Drosophila melanogaster: one gene and its partners. The protein of the gene in region 2 interacts with the protein of the main gene of each other region in a pairwise test. Each region holds a gene or a part of one and is shown on either strand. Other genes may lie near its edges.

What was found.
Region 1: the proteins of Cpr97Eb (region 2) and CG13047 interact in a two-hybrid assay, tested with the Drosophila melanogaster proteins (one large-scale study listed by BioGRID).
Region 3: the proteins of Cpr97Eb (region 2) and tap interact in a two-hybrid assay, tested with the Drosophila melanogaster proteins (one large-scale study listed by BioGRID).

What each region holds. Positions count from the first base shown.
Region 1 is NT_037436.4:16,282,279-16,290,010, forward strand, and holds CG13047 (uncharacterized protein), read right to left. Parts: upstream 3,119-7,732; 5' UTR 3,078-3,118; coding exon 3,066-3,077; intron 2,988-3,065; coding exon 2,487-2,987; 3' UTR 2,402-2,486; downstream 1-2,401. Other genes in the region: CG13048 (uncharacterized protein), read right to left, coding at 700-1,302, 1,362-1,379; CG13046 (uncharacterized protein), read right to left, coding at 5,437-5,970, 6,033-6,044.
Region 2 is NT_033777.3:27,086,101-27,094,124, forward strand, and holds Cpr97Eb (cuticular protein 97Eb), read right to left. Parts: upstream 5,031-8,024; 5' UTR 4,892-5,030; coding exon 4,880-4,891; intron 4,507-4,879; coding exon 3,811-4,506; 3' UTR 3,604-3,810; downstream 1-3,603. Other genes in the region: Cpr97Ea (cuticular protein 97Ea), read right to left, coding at 241-249; CG14258 (uncharacterized protein), read left to right, coding at 7,079-7,163, 7,235-7,481, 7,536-7,669, 7,726-8,024.
Region 3 is NT_037436.4:17,355,131-17,364,212, reverse strand, and holds tap (target of poxn), read right to left. Parts: upstream 4,532-9,082; 5' UTR 4,421-4,531; coding exon 3,224-4,420; 3' UTR 2,402-3,223; downstream 1-2,401. Other genes in the region: CG7692 (uncharacterized protein), read right to left, coding at 6,748-8,549, 8,642-9,082. UniProt on the Drosophila melanogaster protein: May play a role in the specification of the sugar-sensitive adult gustatory neuron and affect the response to sugar and salt. Regulated by POXN.

The DNA.
Region 1 (7,732 bases), on a different chromosome or scaffold from region 2:
ACTTGGCTCAATCATTTAATTGAATTACCACTTTTTTTCGTCCACCCGCTTTTTGTTTATTGTTGCAACAATTGTCGCGTGTTTGGGCCGGGTTTGTGTCTGGAATTTCTGATTTGATTTCATGTTGCGTGCAGTTCGAAATCCACTAACAACATTTCTGTGCCCCACTTGTGAGTGTGTGTGTGTGTGTGTTGCCAATAGTTTGTGTGTGTGTGTGTTGGCCGAATAAATGAAACCCCATTTGGCGACATTACGAGGCGTCTGGTTCGTAATGAGAGTCTGAATCAGATAGCGAATATGTTTCCTTTTGCTAATTTTTTGGTGTGCCTATGATTTTATCAACCGCAGTTACATTCTCTGGGATTTCTATTTTTGGAAATAATTGGTAAGAATGTGCGGGAATACTGAATATATTTTCATATATTTTGCTTAAGAACGCAATGATTGAATTCTAAGGTTAACAGAGCCTTAAATTGAGTATAAATGTAATTTGATTTATAATTCATTTTATTTGACTATATTTATTCGATATATTATTGTATAATGCATGAATTTTATTTGTTTCGTTTTTTATTTCACTATATTTATTCGATAAATTATTGTATAATGCAGGTAGACTTGTAGATTTAAGCTTTACATATCCTATCTGACACTAATTACTCTTTGGTGAGGTTTTCATCATCCGTAAGGTCGGGATGATCACCACAGCGAGTGGTGATGGTGATGAGCGAACTTCAGGGGCAGGGCTTTCAGATGGGCGTGGGGCGTGGCCAGCAGCTTGGGAAAGGCGTAGCCAATGGACACGCGGTGGGTGGTGGTCTTCGGTCCGGGAATGGCACGGTAGGTGGGTGCAAAGGGCACCGCCTCCAGGACGGGCGGCAGCACTTGATGGGTGACACTGGGCACATGGAACTCGGGCAAAAGAGGAGTAGGAGCTGGCAGAAAAGCTGGAGCTGGTAGAAGTGGTGCAGGTGCTGGTAGAAGTGGTGCAGGAGCGGGCAGAAGAGGAGCAGGAGCCGGTAAAAATGGTGCAAGAGCAGGTAAGAGAGGCGCTGGAGCAAATACAGGTTGTGGTGGAGCAAATGCTGGTGGTGGAGCCACCGCAGGAAGCAAAGGAGCTGGCGGAGGAAGGACCGATTCCTGCACCGCGTAATCCAAGTGGTGCGGCAGAGCATGCAGAGAATCCAAGTGGCTCAGATGATGTCCGTCAAAGTGGTTGACATGGTGGGGATCGAAGTGATTGTAGTGAAGATGAGAGGGCTTTGCCTCACCACCCACCAGCAGGAAAGCCAATGCAAAGGCCTAAAAATATTTAGGTTACCTATTAATATCTTTGGTCAAAAGAACTTTGCAGTCCTTACCCATGTCAGTTGCCACATCTTGCTTGGGGGATTTGAAGTTCGGTTTCTTTGGGGCAGTAGCTTCTCGATCGATGTGCTCGACCTGTTGGTTCGGCTGCTAATGTCTTTGCATTGTCAAATTAAATTAATATTTATAGCGAATTGAAGGCGGTACGCAATCAAAAGACTTGCACTTGCATTTCTTCACTTTCGACGACGACTTGGCCCACTCACCTAACTTAATGGGTTGCATCATTTGGAGGGAGGCAACCCAATCCCATTTAGTTGGTCAGCAAGTCGTGACTGAGACGGCGACTGCGAATGGCACTGCCTTCGATCGAGGGGCCAATAACTTCTTGGGCGATTCGAAAGCACGGCCCATGATTATATAACATGGGGCCAACCAAGCCCAGGCATTGACAGTTGCCCATGAGTGGAATATGATTATGATAATCCATAAATATTGCTTTGACCATAAATAACAATCGATATTGCGCCTTAGGTGACAACGCAATCACAACAAATATTGTTTACATGGTGACCAAGTTGTCTGACTTTAACTTCCCTAAGTCCCTAACTTATGTATGTTGCTACTTTGTCAATATTATCTTTAAAATTCAATGCAGCTGTTAGAAAAAATTCCATTAAAAATTAAATGCAGACCTATAATTTATGCATAATTTGTATTAAATGATATCCACCAATAAACAAGCTTATTTTGCATATCAAAGAAATGAGTGAGAAACGAGAAATTCAGAGCATTAAATGGAAAGTTCTAAAGTTTCTAAAAAAAAATTAAATAACTTCCTCTATCTGAAATCTGGAAATATATGGATGCTTAATAAAACCACTTGCACAAAAGGAATCATCTAATCAAAAATTGATCATAGTTAAGTAAAGAAGTTATTTTATATTTTCTTAAGAAATATATATATATTGACCCAATCGAAATGAGCGTCCAATTGAATTTTCATGAACCAAAAATATCCGATAAATAATAGTACTTTCGTTTTTCGTTAATTATTCAAGGCATTTCTGCAAATAATAAGATGGTGCGCTCTAATTGTTGGTTCGTAATTTATTATCAGTTTTTTTTTTTGTTTATCAAAAATTTCCTATAGTTTGGCCTGCTTCACAGGTGTGTCCTTAGACCACCACTGGAGCTGGAGCAGCAGCGGCGATGGGAGCAGCATAGGATGCAGCGTAGGGAGCGGCGTAGGGAGATGCCAGGTAGGGTGCAGCGTAGGGCGAGGCATAGGGATAGGCGGAGTAGGCAGCGGCGGCATAGGGAGCAGCGGCCAGAGGAGCAGCAACGGGAGCAGCGGCCAGAGGAGCAGCGACGGGAGCAGCCAGAGGAGCAGAGTAGGCGGCGGCCAGAGGAGCAGCAGCGTACTTGGCCACCACGGCGGGGGCAGCTGGGATTCCGGACACATAGCGGCTGGAGTAGGGGCCGGCGAACTCGAACGGAGCGGTGGTGTAGGAGGACAGGGTGCCGTCGTAGTTGTTGCGGACATCCACCTGGCTGCTGCCACCTGCGGCGTACAGAGGAGCATTAGCGTAGGCCAGGGGAGCAGCCAGAGGAGCAGCCAGTGGAGCTACAACTCCTGGTTTGGCCGCAGAGCAGGCGATGAGGGCAGCGAGAACCAACTGGAAAATAGGATAGGTAATCATTAACCACCTCTTAGTCCACATTGTTTGGGCGCTAATCCCCATAGGATCACTTACAAACTTGTACATATTGCTGTGGTTGGGTTTGTCTAAAGCACTTGAGCGATAATGTTCATTTGGAGCCAGACCAGTGGCTTATATAGCTCGTGCCCATATCCGTGCTCTTTGGGGGACATTCTGTCTGAGCCGATTTTTGGTCGCTTCTTCATTAGCTGGCCCACCTGGTCGAGTGCCAAGTAGCATACATGATCGCCATTTGGCCAAGACGTGCTCCGCCTTCAATTGCCCAATGGACTGTCGGAAGTTGTCCAAGTTGTCGCTTGAATATTTCGGTTGCACTTGGAAAAATATTTGAGCTTTGGTAAATATTATAAGAAAAGATATGATATAATTCTGATTTCAATGTATAAATATTTTATTTAAAATTTTTAACCTTAACTATTTAGTGCAGTGTATTTACATGCAGAGGTAAACTTTTTGTATAGCATACCAAGTTATAGTCTTTATAAAAATTTTTCCAAGTGCAGTGATCGACATTTGTATGCAATTGAAGACTGACTCGGTGGCCGGGCTGTCTTGTCGTAATTTGCAGTCTGTTTGGGCCATCAATGTGCGCCGCTTCGCATTGAATTGGCCGCAATCTAAGTCAAATTGGCCATAAAAATGGTACCCCTTCCTCAAAGGCCACGATTCCGGCCCACTAAGTGTCTCATTAGTTCACTTTTTAATGGCTTGCAGAGACGCCAATAAAAGGCGGTCGTAAATTTCCCTCTCATCCTAGCCGACGGGTCTTCATTTGTTTTCGTGTTGACCTGACCTTGACGCCACCTGGCCACAGGATGTGATGCACCCTCATCCTCATCCAGTGGGTCTCATCAATTCGCTTCAGCTTAATTGGCCAACAAGGCGCGGGGCCGAATGATCGAGCAGTCGAAACCTGCTTGCTAGCTGACTTAATGAGCCATCTCTCTCGGTCTCTCTCGGTCACGTGCTGGCCTGGTCAGCAGCATCGTCGTCATCTGATGGCTTGGTGTCTGCGATTTGCATTGTTTTACTCTTTATGATCGGGTACTTTTGCTACTTATGAATGTTTGTAAATTAGCATATTTTAGTGTCAATGACTTGGTAGAACAACCCATTAGGAGCATGATTTCAAAGAGCGAGTTTATGAAAAATCGAAGTTTTTCTGTAGTACAGTCACAAAATATTATACTCATACCGCTTACTAACAAATCGTATAGAGTATCTAAATGGTCGTTATTTTATAGCTGCTTCTGAAATCCGATACGATGATGACGCCGGTCTCAAGGTTGTCGCGATGACGAGTCGAGAGGGCGATATATATATATGTATATAAATGATATCTGGTGATCAAGTTGCCCCACGCATGTAACTGTATACTTTTCCATATATTCTGTATTCTGTATCCGCATTGTGGCCACTTTTGATCGGATTGATCCAATCTTGGCAGCAACCACAGCTAGTACATTCCAACTCCAAGGGTGACCTCTTCTCGTTCACTTGTTCACAATTTCTGGACAGGAATTCTCAACCGATGACGCGCCAATTTTCCGGTGACTCAAGCACGGAAATGAGTACATCTTTAACCATCTTCATCTTCATCTTCATAGACCATCGCCATCAACTTCTTGTCTTCAGCACTCCACTTCACAGCTGTGCGATCCGCTCACTTCCTAGTTAACCTTTTAAATTTATTTGCAATCTGATTTAGAGGCTCATCAGAAGCTTTATCCCTCTTAGGAATTGTTTGGCTGTCGTCAGTACCGTTTGCTTTAATTGATTTTTAAGCCCCAAATTTATGCAGACCATATTTCTAATTCCCGTTTTTGTTTTCGCGGGAAGCAGGTTCTATACGGCAGGCATAAATATGTCTAGATATATAGATAGATCCAGATCCCAGTTCCCAGTTCCGTTCCCAGATCTGATCAATGACACTTGACTTTAATTGGCTTTCATAAATATACGTCAAAAGTTAGTCGTTGTCTCGATTTCTTTTGTTTTCACAAGAGAATTCCGAATGCCAATGCCAAGTTTGAGGTCTCATTATGAGGCGCGGATGGAGATGGAGATCTCTTGGCCCGATTTGTGTGTATGTAAATAGCAACCATTAACCCATCGTAGGAGAGTGAAAGGTGTAAATCCAATGGACGAAGACCTCTTTTTTTTTTGTGTGTGCCCGCGTATTAACCTTCAAAACATTATGCAAATGCAGTCTCCATCGATGGCAATGAGACTAAAAATGGCCAATAAAAAGAGACTCAACCGAAAGGCTAAGCTTAGATGGCAAGTTTATTATCAATGTGTATTCACTAAGAGCAGAAGTCATCGCAGTTTGATGATCAGTCGGGATGGCTCTGGCTCTATTAAATGTATTGCTATTGCTATTCTATGGGCTAGGATTGCTGGACTAGCGCCTCTGGATCTGCGGTGTTCCATAGGAGGTTAGCCCCGTGGTTCTGGGCACACTGGCATATGGTGCCCCAGCCTGCAGCGGAAGTTGCGCCACATTCAGTGGAGCAATGCCAAAGGGCACTGGCAGCTTGAGATTCAGCGAGTTGGCATCCACGGAAGCGGAGGATATGGAACGACCTGTGGCCGATCCCGCAGCAGATGATACTCTGGCCACCTGCTGGGGCTGTGGTGCCGGGGGAGCCACCTGGAGGGCAGACGACGGTGCTCCAAATACGTAACCCTGGCTGGTCAGAGCCTGGGTGAAGGCGGCATGCTCCAAGGCGGGCTCGGCAAACTGTCGTGCCACTTGGGGATACTGCTGGTTCTGTTGGTACTGGTTCCTCTGGCTCCGCTGCACGGCTGGCCTGTTGGGAGCGGGATAGTGATAGTAACCCAGCTGGGTGCTGGGTGCTATCGAGTAATCCAGGTGTGAGACATCGGCCAGAGCCAAGCTCATGAGTTGCAGCAGAGTAATCCATACACAAGTCAACTGAAAGTGATTTGATAGGGTTAAACCTTGATAGCTCTTCACACACTAGATATTGCTCTCACATTGGGCGCCATTTCACTTCACTTTTCTTTGGGTTCCAGTTCTTGGGGTAAATGCAGTTTAAAGGCCAATATTTTTGCCGAATCTTATAATCGTTGATGTGCGCTGGCGCAGCTTTGGCAGCTGATTAAAATTTGTGAGCCAGCTGAAGATGCTTTTTATATGCGTATGGAGGAGCTGCGATCGGTTCTCAGACCCCTCTCTCTCTCTCTCTCTCTCATTCTCTCTCTCTCTGTCCCACTCTGTTCAGGTCTTCTTTTGGCTCTTGGTGAACGGCTTTGGGCCAACACTTTGAGTGCAGGCCAAGACGAAGCTTTTTTGGCATTTGTAGCTGCCTTTGTTTATTTACTTTGTTTATTTCTGGTGGCTTAACAAAGCGGTTGCCGGACAGTTTCATCTATTGATAATATTGATATTTGGCTGCCTTGCATATAAATCAATGTTGGTCATTTTTATTGGCATCCAAGCTATGCAACTACACACAATTAGCAGTGGAGCCCTATGGTCACAACCAGAGGGGGGAACTAGACGATTTGGTTTTGTAAATACCCCCACTCCACCACCACTGTTCTCAGCTTTTCTGCATACCTCAGGCATGTCGACAGCATTTGAGCTTATTAAACACAAATCGAATCGAGCGTCATGTGACAGGAGCTAGTTAAGTCGCACACACATAAAAACCATAGCCATTAGCCCAGGCCAAAACGGAGGACTTTGGCGGATCGGTGCGAGATTTGCATGCTAAGCACCAGATTGTTGTCCGTATCTCGGCGTTTGATTGCCGCTCTTTCGCTGCGTGTCTCTTGTCTCTCATCGCAGATTGACCTCAGATGGTGGAACGGAATCACAATCTATGCGCATCCGAATTTAATTTACACTGAAAGAAATGGGGAGCCACTTTTCACTATCGGAATTAATGTTAAATACAAATTTATTATTATTATACCCGTTACTCGTAGACCTTTAGATAGTAAAATACACTCACAATAAATGCGGATCCGAATGAGGTTTACACTGAAAGAAAAGGGAGGAACTTTTCCTGTTTTTATTTAAAATTCAGATATATTAATTTAATATTACACCCAGAAACTTACTTATTCATTTTTTTTTTTTCATTTTACTAACATTGATTTGCCAACAGAAAATGTTAAAATTTCTATTTCGTTCGCCCACTAGATGAGTAGTGGGTATCTTATAGTCGAAGAACTCGACTATAGCGTTCTTGTACTTCTAGTAATTTAGCTAATGTGCTGTTTATAGTGTAATAGCTTGATTTATTGACTTATAGATGTAGGTATCTAAGAAAATACTTATGTATTCTAATTCAAGATAACAAGATCCAATTAATATCCAAAAAGTGGACAAATACAGTTCTGTCTTCTTAAACATTAAATCTAAATGTTAAGCCGCCACCCAAATATATTAGTATTCAAACTTAAATACGGAAATACACAATTTACTTGATTTATTTGTTTAATAACAATATTTGTAGTGTAATCAAGCTGTCTATCTGTGAACTCAAAGGCTCTTTAAAGTTTAAACTGTTGACCCAATTGACGGATGGCTCCGCTATTTCCCTCTTTCATTCATTGACTTAGGTCAGTTGATCCGTAGTCATAGCTTTAATAGCGGCAAATTTATATTATTTATTCATTTTTCTGGGCCCTCTCAAAGTCAAGCCTCGCCTTTGGCCAAAATTGGC
Region 2 (8,024 bases):
TGGGGCTGGGAGCAAATTAACGGTTCGCTCGATTTGCATAGCAAATTATGCGATATTTGCACAACAGTCGCCGCAATGGCGATGACGTAAGTTTACAGATCAGTACCTCCCCACTTTTGATACGTCTGGGTGTCTCAGACTCAAATACACCCCTTTTGCGGCCACGCATCCAGTGATTCTGTCGAACGACCTTTGATATTTACCACCCATCGACATATATATCCGTCCCCACTCACATACCACTTTCATGTTGAACTGTTGAATTGTATCCGCTGATTGGCTTTGTGGGGCCAGCTATTTCGAATCGATTAAACCCTGAATGCAATCGCAAAAGGCCTTCGCTGGCAACACCCAGCTGAATATCGAGTGGCGAAGACAACAAAGCACTTTCAATTTCAATTCCAATTCCAAATCCCCTAATGAACCGGGCGACTATCTTGGGGCAAATCGGCCAAATCTTCGGACCGACTTCGGTGGAGATCGCGTGGAGTATTAACTTGTGACCGACGGCAACTGAGCCGCCCAGGTTGTTGTATTTCGCTTTATATACCGATCGCGGAAAACCTTTTTCCCTCTCCCATAACGGACCAAAGACCACACATCCCGCACCACCGCAGCACAACTGCACCACCGAGCCGCACCAACGGCCGCAGCACCACAAAACTTCACCAACGAAAGGACGGAGAGCGGTCGCCAGTGGAAATGTTTCTCTGGAGAAAAAGATATAGAGATATACAAAGAGAAAGAGAGGCTGCAGAGCTTGATCGAGCTTGAGACAGCGAATTCACCGGAGTTCTCTCTGTGCTTTGAAGAGCTTTTCTTAGCCATCGCCACAGGAATGGCCAAGAATGACCATATACATATATAAAATATACTTCATTTCATATGTATTACATTATTTTACGCCAAAAGAATGTAACTCAGAAGAAATGTTCCTTTTTAAAGTTTAAACTTCGCCCAACGGTTTCAAAGAATTCCATTTTGCTTGATTTGCCAATTTCCAGAGTTTTTCTGACCCCACAGCTCAACGAATTAAGTCACCCACTTGTTGTCGTTAAGTAATACAAAACAATTTAATAAATTTAACAAATCGCTTACGAAATCAGGGTGGTCGTAGTCCTACCTCTAACTGCGACCTTCGGTGCGCTATGGCAACTAACCTCAATGAGATGTGGCCATCCACGATAATTAATCAAAACTGTAAGGCCCATAAATTGCTAAAATATGAAGCAAAGTTGGCAAGCATAGTTTGCTAGCCCTTTAAAACTGGTTTGCCTATAAATTATATACAATTATGTTCAAACTGTCATAATTGACATCCTCTACAGTTCGAATTTAAGAAATACTAGTGCATCTAGTGCTTCAAAGGAATATAAAAGATAAAAGATACCCGAATAGTTCACAAACCAACCAGCGAAGAAATATCTTATTTATTTCCATGTTGTTCTCGGTGGTTCAACAGTGCGTATGCTTGATGTCTGAATCACAACCAGAACTAGGCAACGTGTCACTTTCCAGAGTGTTAGCTGCACCCCACTCCTTCGCCTCCACTTTTCCACAACCACTCGGAATGGCCTTGCGGGAGTAGTTCTGATGGAATTAATGACACACCACGGGTAGCACTCCGTTTTAACTGAACAACCACACGAACCAGGCAGCAATGCAACCCGCAGCGGAATGGCGATAGTTCAGCTGAAAAACTGGTCGGCCACTGCACCACATTGCCACATTGTCAGGAAACCGTCAACGATTGCCTGCCCCCCAGTTTCGCCCCCCTTCTGTATCTTTATGCCTCCTTCAAGTGCCGCCCATGACGCAGGGCGGTTTCCAGTCTTCAAGTGCGTGCGATTGTTATTTCGCTTGTCAGTTGCTTTTTTTTTTTTTTTTTTTGTGCTGAGTATATCATTTTAAAGACTAGTTTGTGTCCGGCTTTTGTTCGTGGGCAGCGGGCTGGGGGGCAAATGGGCGTGCACCTTAACTTGTGAGCATGCGTAGACGCACTGCCACGATCAAGGTCGAAAGAGTTCGCTAAAAATATTTCGGAATATAACAACAAACTTAAGAGAATGTTTTTAAAAATTCGGTATTTAAATTTGAAGCACCATAATTTAATTTTAGAAATGGTTTCACAATAGAGCTAAAGGTATCTTTTTAGGTATGCTTCCTTGAATCTTGGCATTTCATTCATTTATTTCCAGCTTACAATTGTACATTTCCCCCATTGATAGCCAACTATTCAATACAATTGAATGCAGGGCCAAAGGAGTAGCATATTTTCAATGCGACACTCGACCAACGCGGAGGCATCTCAGCCAACGCATTTTTGAATGGGAATCATAACAATTCCATACCTACGGCTTTTTGCCACCTCAGAAAATGGTGCTGCAAAAAAATGTGGTAAGTGTAGCAGCTGTTCGCTAGTCAGCCATGGCAAAGTAGACAGTTTTGCAGGAAATTCTTGAGTCATGCCAACGCCCCAGCAGCAGCAGACCAGTTTCGCTGTTTTGCTCTGCGGAATTATATAAATGCTGAAAATATATACATATACAAATAATTCAGAGCCTGTAATGTGTGCTTGTGCACTGCTTTTTAAGAGGTGCAGTCTGGACTTGATTCTTCGTTGGTGCCGCCAGCAAAACGCTTTGAATTTCTGACTTGGCCAACTGGCACAGTGGAAAGGAACTTGAATAGCTCACACAACCGAATGTATATGACAAACTATAAATAGTGGCTTTAAAGTTAAACGGGGAATAGCTCTTAGTTATTTAACAGCTACTTTATTAGCTACTTTGTGGGTTTGCTGTAACCATATATATAAATTGCTAATCATCCGTTTTAATAAAATGAAAAACCTTCAGAAAATTTGAGTCAAATTCAATTAAATTACCTAATTAATAGCTTATTTAAGCTAACGAAAAGTTAAGTACCACACTGATTTAAGCTCATTGTTTGGCCATTGATCCGTGGGTGACTTCCAATTATCCAACAAGCTTCAAGCCACTTCTTCCAGTACCTGCAGTCCCCACACCCAAAAGACAAAGGCAGTTGAGCCACCACCCAGCACCAAGTACATAGACCATAGACCATAGACCATACTTATGGCCAACAGCTTATGGCCAACTGGTCGGCCGTTGGTGGCAGTGCATTTGAAAGTGGTTTGGGGCCAGCACATTGCATAAGTGCACCAAATTCCAGTCAACAGCAAATCCACTTTGGTTTTCAATCTGAATCGGCCACAATGCTTGCCTTTTTTTTGTAGTTTTTTGTTGTTTTGGCTCGATCATTCTGTGTTGACGTAATGGCCTAACGATTATTGGCCACTTGCTGGGCTCTTTGCCTTTATTTCAATCGGCTGGATTTTGCTACAATTTCTGCTGTGGGGCGGCTTAATTGAAGCGGAACCTGGTAGTTGGCTAAATTGAATGCCAAAGCAGATATTTCAAATACTTCTGAGCACTGAGAATAATTACTTAGCAGTAAATGACAGCGAAAAGGGTAGCGTAAATTGATTGAATGTTTACTAGTTGTCTTTAACACCCTAATTGCCTTTGATTTTCATAGCAATTACCAAAACATTTAATGATTTCAGAACACTTTCGTTTTCTCTGTAAACGCTTCAGGTTTCAAAACTCGATTTATTACACACATTCAAGAACATATATAAACAGGTACAGTAATAGATACATGTGTGGGGTGTGCGGAGTGACTGATTTATTTGGCAGTAACAAGTTGACATTGTCCTCGGACACTTCAGTCCCTGACTCTCTGGCCCAACTCAGAGGTGATCCCCCCATCAAAAGGTCCTCCTTCCTACTTCCGGCCCGTATAGTCGATGCTATAGGAACCGGTGTAGAGGTTGAGATTTCGCAGGGAGGGATGATGTTGCTCCGGCAACCCCCTGTATGGCTGTTGCTGCTGGGGATTATAGTAGTTCTGGGCCGGAGGCTGGTAGTAACGGGGCTGCGGAGCCGGGGGATTGTAGTATTGGGGTGTGGGATTGTAGTAGGGCGTTTGTGGGGCGGGCTGCCGAGGTGGCGGGGCATACGCCTGCTGCTGGCCGCGGCCGAAATCGTTCAGACTGAATTTACTGGCCGGTGAAAGGGGGCGATTGAACTTCTGGTCCTTGTAGTACACCGAGGGGTCCTCACGATACTGGCCATCGTCCAATTCGTTGGGTCCCAATGGATAGGGATTGCTGTTGGTCAGCGTAGGTGGTGGCACATTGATGTGACTGCCAGCGGGCTCAAAGCCACGCTTACTGGCTCCATACTCTATTTCCCGCACTTTTCCCTGGTCATCCACATAACCGTACTTTCCATAGACCTCTCCATTCGCGTACTTGGTTTCGATCTTGAAGCTCTTATCGGCCGCTTCGTATCCATATGTGTAGGAACCATCGTCGTTGTGCTTGTCGATCTGCTTGAGAATGGGCACCGGTGTGGTGTAGTCCTGGTGTTGCGCATACGCACTGTGGGCCGCCAGAAGCAGAAGACCCAAGCTCAAGGTCTGCAAATTGAAAAACAAAGAGTTGAGTGAAAAAGTGACTCAAATCGTTTGTATCATTAAATCACCATTTCGGTCACACCCATCTGTAAAGTCAGCAATTATACATGAACTTTGCCTTTATTGCCTTACTTTTGGCTAAATACCTTAATTAGCTGCTCTGATTATCAGTTCACAAACATTCACTCAAGGACATGGCTGAGTAATGAACCACCAATTAAGTTACTCTTTATCATAGACACCGATCTGATCAAACCGGTTGGCTAAATTGCATTCTAAAAATTCACTGCGCATATTCTGAAAACACCTTTTGCATACCGATATGAATATCGAGCTTTGGAGATGTAACACTATAAACCACCTTGCTGAATCTTACCAATTTCAACATGCTGCCAAGCTTAGAACCAATTGTCAATGTCGAACCGTTTTCACCAATCTCCCAAAGTAGTTATGCACTGCGAAAATGGAAAATGTGTTCTGCACTTGCACTCGAGACTCTGCGAATCGAAACGACAAACTCAAAAGAAAATCAGGGCGTGCAACGCTTTTTATACCGCAGTCAACATTTCGCAAAAGCGGGCCAAGAGGGGAAAAAACCATGGCAGAAACTAAAGCTTCAAGCCGAAGTCTCTGGATCTGGCGATCAGCTGCGATCAGAAAACGAAAACGAATACGTTAACCGAGGCCCGAGCTCCCGATCCGATCCGAGAACCGATTCGACTTGGCTTGGAATGCAGCATAGAAATCGAAAGCGGTCGTCGGCCAGCTGTACTTACGTCCGATCGATATGCCCACTCACTCACCTCTACAGGTAATTCACTTACCAGCAGCAAGCCGACGCGCAGCAATTTCCAATCAGGTTGTTAATGTCGTCTACTCGAATTCTTGGCCAGCAATTTATGCTTCCAGACCGCAACACTCACGCATACGCAATGAGATCAGAGCAGCAACAGTGATGAGAACTAGGTACACTTGGTACACTTACACTCCATATCCTACTCATATTGGCACACTCTAGTTTGAGGTACAAAGTGCGATGTAAAATAGTTTTCAAGTGCCATCTAAAAACTTTTACAATTCACATCGATTTATCAGGTGTTAGTTATCTTTAAAGTTTATTTCATAGACACAATTAAAAAGTACCTTTGGCATCACTGAAATCTACAATCCAGAAAAGAATAAAATGCCAGTACTGCGAGGTGCGGAAGTGTTGCACTTGCTAAGCATTCCAATTATGCAAGTCAATTCCCCCCCACCTGCTAATCGATTGCAAATACCTGTCCAAACACCTTGCTCCCAGTTAAGTGCACTGGCCAATGGCAATCTGCATCCACAACATGCAATTTGACAGCTTATTTAGCCATTTCTCTTAGCCTGTCAAAACTCACACTTGAAGCTAGGAAAAGAAAGCAATACAAAAACTTATATGCTGGCATACTGACCTAGTCAATGCTTTGGCTAAAGAAACAGGTTGCTGAAATTACGTCATAGATAGGCAGAAAAAAATGTGATGGTTTGACTAGATCTCTGGAGATTTCTAGAATTTAAATTAGTTTATATGATGTTTTCTTTTTATTTCACAAACAACCAGTTAAGTAGGATCCAATTTATATAAAATAAATTGCCAAAATCCCCAAGCCACATTCAAAACAAACACAGTTGTCAACCTACATTATAATACTGAATTTATTCCATTTATTTCGGGGGATTTGCATTCATCTATCTGAAATCACATTCTACACTGTGCAAAATACACCAAATAACAAGTCATATAGCATATTCATCAAATAATAATGCAGAACCACAGATTTTCAGGTCTCACTGTGGCAAAGAATAAAAATGTATGCGTATTTAAAATAAGAAAATTCCCATGATACATAATTCATAATTAGTTGTTTTCTGTGTAGGTACTTATGTCAAAACCACAAGTTCGTTAACCCAAGAACCGCAGACCTTGGTCATGGTTGCATGCAGATAAATACATTCGCTTGGCTTCTTTTCCTCACTTGAGTATGCATATATGCAAAGATAGTTTGCTAGAATTGTCGCCTATAATTAATTGGAATATATATTCTTAAGAGAGATCTACTAAACTAAATAAATCCGTCAGCATTACAGTCGTCGCATCTTAATGATCTTGTAGAACCAGTTCGGCTCCAGCGAAAGTGAGATAGAATATATAGAATAGAATATATGTCTAAGTATCTAGATATATGTATTATGACAGTACTTTACAACTGGAAATGGAGTCGCCGGCGAGGCAAAGGCTAAGTAATATTATAAAAATTAATGCATTTTCGAGCTAGGGTATCGCATCAGATGAATCGAAAGATTTGGGCACCCTGTACGACCACAACAAGTCTAATGCGGCCAAACTCGTTTACTTACTAATTGTACCGAAATAAATAAAATAAATATATATAAATCGGCAAAACAAAGAAATGATTTTAAAAGTTATACATTCGAGCGGTCCATTTCGAATAAAATTACCGGCGGCCAGACAGAATCGTCATTTCAATCAGAGCATTCAAAGAAAACGGTTCTAGTCATCACATTTTGGAATAAAATTATCAAGATGCTTATTAAAGTTGCCAAGTTCCTGAGTATTGTAGCCGTACTCCTTTCAGCAGTCGAAGGAGCTAAATATCTGGCAGAGAAACGTAATAAACATTTAATACAACATATTTTGGTTGAGTTAAGTTAATAATATTCTTAAATGTACAACTTTCAGCCGACTTCCTAATCCCATGTATCGTGGGCGATCCCAACTTTAATGTCTGTCTGACCAAAAACTTCCAGAGTTTCTTCCGTCAGTGGAAGGACGGAATTCCCGGCTACAATGCCGTGGGATCCTTTGATCCTTTTTACATCAAGAGAGTGAAATTTACCCAGGATGCCAGCAGGTCTATAGCTATCAATGCCGATCTGAAGGAAGTCTATGTAGCAGGTGCTGGTCAAGCATTAGTCTTGGAATCCAGGTAACCTATTTAAAGATTCTGACGAAATCAAGTTTGACCATTAAAAATTCTCAGCTGGGATCCAAATCACTATGTAGCCAGGACTTTGATTTCCGTGCCCAAGTTGCGTTTCAATTTCGATTACAAAGTCAAAGGACACGTCTCAGCGCTGAATCTCAATGGTCATGGCAAGGGATACTTCGAAGCTGGTAAGATGCAATCTACAATTTATGCGAATTACTATCTTAAAGCCGGTTTTATTCAGAAAATGCTCTGTTATTGTTGGAATTGGCTGTCAAACCGCTGGCCACCTCAGATGGTTATTTCGCTGATGTGCAAAGTGTAAAGGTAAATTTCCGCGAGATCAAGCAATTCCGCATCAAGCTGGAAAATCTCTTTGGCGGCAACAAGGATCTGGAGGATACTGCACACATTTTGTTCAACGAAAACTGGCGCGACTTCTTTGAGGTACTGCGTCCGGCGGTGGAGCAAACAGTTGGCGGAGTGCTTTTGGATCGGTTCAAGAAGACCTTTGTCTATGTACCAGCTACCTATTTGATTAAA
Region 3 (9,082 bases), on a different chromosome or scaffold from region 2:
TATTTTTTTTTTTCGAATCGGAACAGTAACGTATACGACGAGGTCGCACACCCCGGAAGGTTCAGGCTCACAAAAAACAACAACCAGAGGACGTCAAAGATTTCACAGATAAACCAATTCGAGCAGGGCAATGAATGGGCAAAAAGGTCGAGCAACTTGCCGCTAAAAAGCGAACGTGTAGCTATTGCACCAGAGCGAATCTCTGCCATCAATGTTTGATCAGGACCAAAAAGGGGTAATAAACAATGGATCCGGGGCTGCAATAACCACGTGCACCGGCAAAGGGTTAAAAAAATGTGTGCCAACGTCTTGCTAAAAAGGCGTAAAACAATCAATTCGGCAAATAAAATTCGATTTGCGAAATGGGAATCGCAAAAGGGCAAGTACAAATTGGAGCTGTGTCGTCAGGAACGGTGTGATATATGATCTTAATATTTCATGCTTTCCATTCCAAGGGTTGAACTCTGACTCTCATCAAGTCTTTGAGAGTAACCAAAAATAAGGTTTTAGAACACCAAAAGGAACGACAATGCACATAAAAATTTCACATTACCTTAATTCATGTACTCAAATAAAATAAATTTTTAAACAAATGGCTTGATAATTTATCCATCTTTTACAAAAAAAGAAGAGTCCTCAGTTAAACCTACTTTTCTTCATGCTTGAGTTAATCTAAAATACAAGTTGATGGAAAATAATAATAAATCTATACTATAAATTGATAAAATAAACTTCAAAGAAAGCAGCCTTATTTCCGTGTTCGGTTTGATAGGGAAGAGTATGAAATGGCCCCTTGTGTTTTCTCCGTGTGGACTAATCCCTGTATATTTACACAGAAATTTGATTTGGTTAGGTATCTGCAAGTCGAACCCTCCGCCATTAGTCGACCCAGCCGAAGTCCTTTGTGCAATCTCATCGGACCGCATATGAATCGCTCTCCAAGGACCTGCACTTGCCGCAGCCGAAGATGCCAATCCATTGTGTTTGCGCCTTTTAGCATGTCCATGGCAATTTGTTTCCATTTTGGTTGCCTTATCGCCTTATGGCCATCGCCAAATTGTTTTTCCAGCCTCGCAGTGCATTAGCATTCGGGCAAGGGAGTCAGGGCATAGATGTCGTCATTGATCCGCCGATAGCCATCGAAACGCAGCCACCCCGTCCGCTAATGATGCGAGTCCCATCCGGGCCAGGTTTCATCCTCATCCTCAACCCTCGAGGAGAGGCGAGTGGGTCCCAGAAATTGAATGCAGCTTAGCTGGCTCACCCGCTGCGTATTTGCGCCTTTGCAGCACAACAGGACCAAAGAACCCAGGACCCATGCCGGTCTATAATAATGATTATTGCAAAGATAAATCCCGACACCTCCAACAAAGCTGCTCAAATGACAAACGCCGGCTTAGTTGTGGAAAAACTGACGAATTCCCGCTTATAACCCCAATAACTAACCATGAGCGAATCTTTTACCGACAGCAAATATATCTAGTTAACTTAAACATAGTTGAATGCTCAGGATGGCTAGACCTAAAATTATTTCTAAGATATTTGAATGATGAATATAAATTCTAATGGAGTATGCATACGAATAATATGTAATTTTAAATCTTTTTGTTAAAAGTGGTGGTTAGTAGTTGATATTTGAAATTAAATCATACAAGTTGCTGATAAAGATATCCTGCTTTCCCAATATTCAATTTACGTTGCATTAGGCAAACCTACGCCTTTTTTTAAAACTTTAAAACCTTTGAATGTAAGGCTTTGCAGTATGACAGCTCTATTAACGGATAAGACTGTCTTATTGTAATCTTCAGTTGAGATTGCGAATTCCTCACCGGCTTTCCAGCATCTTTACCACCTTTTTACCCTTTTCTCGTAACGGAAAACGTCAGTCAGTCAGTTGTTACCCAGTTAGGCAGTAAAGCAGTAAAGCATTTCCCTCGACTCTTGCCGGTTCGGTTCATTCAACTAAATAATTTGAGTGGCATTCATGCAGGTCCACTGGCTCACAGCTCATGTTTCAGGATTCCCTGTTTGGTCCTGACTGCTGCTGTTGGTACATTCGTTTTGTAATTGTGTGGCAGGTGACGGCAATCTTCCATTGTTCGAGCTATGAAGGCCGAGCCGGGAGTTCGAGTTCGGTTTCTACTTGAACTCACCCCATGTCGAATTGTAAGGGCGAAAAGTGCCCCCTACGATAAGAACAAGCTGCAGTGCACACACACAAAGCCATTCGTTTTATGTGCCCTGCAATATACAATATTTATTTGAATTTAAGTCCTTTGTTTGGGACCTGAAATCCGCACACAGCGGTACACTGATTCCAGGGTTGTTTGCTTTGGCTACTATTTTTGACTTTGTCCAGGAGTTCGTCCATTCTTCCCACTCGCAAAACCATTTTCTGGCTCGTTTTGATCGTCAACTTTATTTGCAAAAATAAATCTTTATGGTTTTACATCGAAATTCAATCTTATCACCTTAAAGTTCTGGCCCTGACTAGCTCGCTTTCCTTGCATTGCAATAACTGATATAGAATCTGGCATAACCTACATACACTTAATCGATTGTACAGTTAATTATGGCTAATACCTGGTTCATTTTAAGAATCCTTATAGATAGGTCTTAAATCTAGAATGGCAAGGTACGTATCGCTTACACTAAATGGACAACCGATTTGTACTATATAGTCAAGAAGAATGCGAATATGTTGAGAAGAAGAGTGCTTTTTGGAAAATTGATTACCCTAAGCACTTTTAATTCAAATATTCACCAGAGATCCGCAAGAAGGAAGCCAATGAATACAAATATAATGGGAATTCATATGAATTAATAATGAGTTCGTGAAGCTTAACTTTGGATGTTTGACTTTAAATTGGTTAATCTATTGAGGATCCCTCTATAACATGAAACTAATTGAGTTCAAAGATTAGCGCAAGTGTGAAATATACAATTTTTAAAGATATTTCATTTTCAAACTTGATGATAATCTTAGCAGTCAATTAGGTGCCTCGCTTATTACCAATATCAACGGATTGCAGGAAAGTTGAGAAAAGTAAGGAAGGGAAATCCCGAGATAGGACCCATAAGTTACTTTAGTTATGTTTTTAAAGTAAGTCAAGGGCAAATCGCTTAGAGGAATTCCCCTTGATCAGTTTCCTGCAATTTCCGGCAATCTTTTAGTATATCACGCTGAAAACCCTAAGATCGTAGTTTGGCCCACAAAACTGTGCTACACCTGCGGGGCGAAGTTTTTGTAGCTGTGTTGATGTGGAACGGGATGCACGTGTGCCTGATCCTCCGGATAGTCCTTCCATGGCGGTGTTTGCGAGTAGAAGCTGCTCTGCTGGTGAATCCCAGAATCCAAGTTCGTAGAATGAAGATTGGCAGCTGCATCGAAGGATCCCCTGAACAGATCGTATTTCTCCTGCGAGAACTGCTGCGGGCTGGACTCCTGCTGGGGATTAGGCTGCAGATGGTGAGGCTGATGCGGCTGCTGTTGCTGTTGGTGGTAAAACCGCATGCTGCCTGTAAAGTCGAATCCTGGTGGCTGCTGCGGATAGTCCATGCCGTGCTGAAAGCCACCCATCGCCGGCGGCTGCTCCGCGTGCGATGCTGGAGCAGTCTGGTGCTGTGCAAGAGGCGCCATTCCCTGTCCATAGGGGAACATTCGTCCGAACAAGGGATACGGCTGTGGATTCACGAAAAGAGCATCGAAGAGCTCCTTGGTAATCCTCTCACCACTCAGCGTGAAGTTCTGCAGCTTCTCCAGATCCAGGTTGATTGAACCTCCGCTTTCCAGCACCTGCTCCAGGGCAAAGATGTAGTTGTGCGCAAATCGCAGAATCTCGATCTTCGTCAGCTTCGTCTCCTCGGGAAGCGAGGGCAGAGTGACGCGTAGTTTCTCCAGGGCATCATTCAAGTTATGCATCCGATTCCGCTCCCGGTCATTGGCCTTCATGCGGCGGAAACGCTTGATCTTCACCACTTGGGTTGGACTGCGCGAGCGAGTTACTCTGTTCTTGCCGACGGCATATTTGCGTTTCGGTCGCGGCGCATTGGGATCCTCTGGCGACTTCACCGGCGTACTGGTCAATGGCGGATCGAAGACGCCATTCGTGGCCCGACTGTTCAGATGTTCGACCAGTGTCCTGCCGCTCCGAGTGCTGTGATTGCTGCTCGTATCGAGCAATCCCACGAAGCCCGCCGGCGGTGAGCTGAGCGGTACGGCGTCCCAGGTGCCGCCGGAGTACGGTTGCGGGATCGCCGGAGTCGGCGGAGTGCCAAAGTCCAAGCGGCGTCGTGAGCTCAACTGGGCCTCCGTCTCGAAACTCTTCTCGTAGCCACTGTCGAAGGAGGCGTCGTCGTCGTCCTCGTCGAACTCGAAGGACTGTGATCCAGCGCTATAGGCATTGTAGCAGGCGGCCATGATCTCGTATCTGTATCACGGTGTGTATATCCTTTAGCACATTTCCGATTTACGATTTCCGCTTTGAGAGAGTTGTTTCTTCGCGTCTCGCGTGCCCGCACCAACTAAAAGCTGGCGAGGAGTGCGCACCGGTTTTATGTGCCCGGCCAGCCATTAAGCCCGCTGATTTGGGTCCGGACTAACAGGCATCAACCCTCGGCGCATTGTCGTCGGTCGTGGCGGCGCCATAGCGCAAAGTAGAGAGCACAGAACCCCGACACAAATCCCAACAGATATGCGCCGTGATTGCCGCCCGGGGGTGGCTTTTGCCAACTCACACACCAACGTCGTCTAGCTAGAACTGCCTGCAGCGGGGTGAACTTCCTGGAGATGGAGATTCGTTCTGCGGGCCGCCGCTACCAGTCAAAATACGAGCATTTTTCACGCTTCGCTGCGAGCGGTGCTCTCTAGGCCAATCGGAAGGATGTCTGCGTCCGAGGATCAGCGGTGTCGCCAACGGCATCATCAAAGCTCGTCTCTATAGTCATACCCTTCCTCTAGGGTTATTTAAATACAATGTGCTTACTGCACAGCTTAAACTTAATTATATTTATATTAATGAATGAGTAGTATTGTTGGTCAATTTAAGATATGCTTTATATTATAGTTAAATTAAAAGAAGAAATATTATATTATTATATATTTTGTAAAAATCACTTAGTTTAAGGATAAATCCAAAAATTATTTGAAATAGGGAATACTTTTGTTTAATATGATATCTTCGGATCATTACGACTTTGTTATATTTTCGGTGTAGGTATAATTTTCGGACGAGATTTAATCCATTTCCGTACTAAAAGATTTCTTACCCTTTCCTACATATATAGAGTATGTGTGCTTCGTGGACTAAATAAATTGTTATTTTGTTTTATCGCCACATCGAAATAATGCGATTGCAATTCAAAAGATTCAATTACCATCAACTCTTTCGCCTTTCGCAACTAAACCGCAATAATCGTTTAGGGCTTACGCCTGTCGCTAAACGGGTTAGTGGCACGTGGCCAGGATGCCGCCTCCACTTACCAAAAGCAACATGTGTATTCAACGGAAAGCTCTCACTCCCACAGGACTCCATCCTCCTGGTAGAAAACCCAGGCGTTGCCACGTGCCGCGGTCTTAACGGCTGCTCAAGTGGCAAAGTGTGCCGATGTGGGATTCCTATCTGTGGCAATCCTGTTAAAGGAGGATCGGAGTTGCAATTTCAAGTGGGCGACGGGTGCCACGTGCGGATTTGTTATGATATGCGGCAATTGCCGCAAATTACCAGCACGAGTGAGAACTTGAGTGTCGAGGGGGCTAATTTAGTAATATGCCACATTTCAGGCAGTTCCTCCTAATGGAAATGAATTGAGTGCTTTTGTTGAAAAAATATAAACCTTGCTTCAGTAATTGTGACACCATCAATTTTTTCTTTAATAGTGCTTTATAAGGTAGCTAAGTATGTTATGAAAAATGTACTAAGTAGAGCTGATGTTTGATTAATTTCCTTATAGATTTCAAAACCAAGATAGTTTTATATAAATAAACAAATACTTAATGGTATACTTATTTATTTATTTTTTAATCAGTTTTCTTGTATGATCAGTACAATGAGTGTTTTCGTAACTTATAAAATATATTTATATATATATAAATATATTTATATATATAAATATATATAAATATATTTATATTGAAGTTTTAAACAGAATATTAATGGTAGTTTGTATCAATATCTTTATAAGAGCTAAGTACTACTAACAATGTTTCTTACATGAGAAGAAAATCTATCCCATATATGCCACTTAAATTCACACCAGCAGCCACGTGTCGCCGTCGTCGTCATCCATGTTACAAAGCTTCTCCGCCGCGTGTAGCTAATTTGGTTTTTTAGAGCCACAATGCACATCAATTAGGCAGTTAATTGAAGTGCGGATGCGTTTGCTTTTTCCATTGAGTGTTGTCCTGGACTCGATGAGAGTCCTTTTTTAAAGGCCCTCGGGCGGCGTTACAGTCCAAATAAAAACCGAAATACAATGCCGGAGCCGGAAACTTGGTCAAACAGATGTACACGTAAATAATTTCATCAAAATCCTGGCGTTTTGGTAGCCAAAGCAAATACCAAGTGTGCCCCAGGCTAATTGCATTCTAACAACCGAGACGAATTCGATTTTCCCAGCTATACACTTCATCTTCCTTGCTCCCTTCCTCTGCTGCGCAACCAACGAACATCCCTTCGCCAGCATTCGTTTCGGGCACGTAGAACATCGCCTCTGGCTCGGTAGCAGGCTCGACTTGTCAACAGCGTGTTAGAATGGAATGATGGCCTCCTCGTAAAGCGGATCCATATCCATTGCATGTGTAAAGTTATTCATGGGGGGGTTTGCGGCTGGAATTGGTGAGTTGGACGAAAGAGAGTCCGAGGACAACTCGATCACATCCGGCTGAAAGGAAGGCGATCGTCGCACATTTGGTTCTGTTATACACTTGGGCCCACTGCGTCCACGGTCACGTCCACGTCTTCTAATCGCAGAAACAGACCGAGTCACTTCCTCGAGATCTGTCGAGGAATCGGATGTAATGTGCTTGAAGACCGGCTTGGCTATCATGCGCGGCGATGGCGTGGACGATTCCGAAGGTGCTGGCGAGTCCGATGTGATGTGCACAAACTTCTTGAAGCGGCGCCTATCATATTGGCGGTAGTTGTAGCTGTTTGAAGATCCATTGCTGTCCTCGGTGTGGGAGCGGCTCTGACCGTTAAGACTCGCTGTGAGCCTTCTTTGGCTGCGACGTGTCTGGTCGTTATAGAAATTTGCCATATTAGTTCGCTTAACACGAACTCTTACTCCCCTGAGTTTTTCTATGTCTCGTGGTGTCAATCTGGTTAAGCACACCTGGGAAGAACGCGTCAGGCATTCGTTGATTTGACGATTTGTCTCCATTTCCTTAATATCGTTTGCAGATCTGGAATTGGATTCGTTGTTCACTGAGTCAAATTGTAAGCACTTGTTCTTAGGGTTCTCATCACTGCCATCCCACAGAAGGGTCTCCTCCGCGGTGTCGGTTTCTGTCCCGGTTTCTGATGGCGTTGACATTTCATTAGGCAGCTGAGCATTCCCTAAGCGCTGCATGTGGATAAGCTTATCTTTTTGTTTTCTTGTATTCGGTAGATCCCGTTGCGGTTGTCCAGTTTGTTTTGGCTTTTCGGCCGCCTGTCTCGCTTCCAGTCCCTCTACTTTGAACAGTCCATTTGGGATGACCTGTTTTAGGTCACTAGTTTTTAAGGCATCTCCCAGTGGCTCCTGGGTCTGTTGTCCAGTTCTCACGGGCTCCTTGGTCAAAAACAGAAACTCCGGAGTCTTCTGTGGCACTTTTGTAGTTTCTAGGCTCCCATGGATCAAATGCGTCTTGGTCTCACCAGTGGGCTGCAACACTTCTGGGTCCATGGTTAAATCAGACTTTGTGGTCGGCGAAGGTGTTAGCTCTTTACTTACACCGGTAGAACCTTCGCTGACCTCCTCCTCGTTGAAGTCGTGGGTAGCCATCGTGGAAGTTTCTGAGTTTACGCTTTCAGTTTCCGATCCCGTGCGAACGATATTTTGAACAAGCTGGGAACATGGCTGCACGGCGGCTTTTGCAGCTTTGGCCATTTTGAGGGCCTTCAAGATTTTGAATTTGTTTAATATCGAGCTGCACTCTATCATGCTGCTGCTGTCTTCTACCACATTCTGCAGCTCTTCCTTCTTGAAACTCCATATGTCGGCGATCGGCTTAAAACCGACGGTTTCGTTGGTAAATTTGGGTCGTGACTCCATCAGTTCGCTAATCGTACGCTTTTCGACACGCGCAGATGTTTCTTGTAGACACAGTTGTTTTGGAGGCTGGACTGCGATTTTTGGCTGCTCCTCGACGACGGGCTGCGTATGAAATTGGTGATGTGATGTCTCTGGAGAGCTCGATCGTCGCCCACCGCGCACACTTCGATCCATGTCAGACAACATGGCATTGGCTACCATGGCTGCCGCCCTAACCCGAGTCCGGCGGCCATTTCCTGTGTAGTAGGGCTCCGAATCGCTTGAGGCAGCCTCCTCCTCGTCTTCCGAAAATACTACTGTGGGATTTTAAATTGAAATTATTAGTATGACTGAATTATTAGTTATTATGAAAGGAAGTGGCTCAAAAGAAAACGATTTTGTTGCTAACCTTCGTCCCAAAATTTGCGTTTTGCGGGTCGCCGCTTTTTCTGCTCCTTGGCTTTCTCTGCTTCATCATCCACTGCTGACGTTTGTTCAGCTTCTTCCTCAGCCTCTGGGAGATTAACCGCATTTTCGTAGCCCTCTTCTATGGTGCCATAGTCCAACTGAGGGCGATCCCTGTATTTGGCATAGTCGATCTGGAGGTACTTCAAATCGTCGCCAGCTTCGGCCATGTTAAGAGACACAAATTTTCTCTTGAGGTCCGGGCTTTTGAGAAGGGCATGGCAACGCTCGTGTAGCGTGTGCCAATCGAGAGCCCATGAGTATCGTTTATTCCGTGGTTGGAAGACCACGGTCAGAAGGTCTTGGATCATGCTGCGGGGAAGCCGCAACGCCTGCAGCGATTTGTGTATCGGATCGTAGTCGGCCACTGGATCGTAATGGTTCG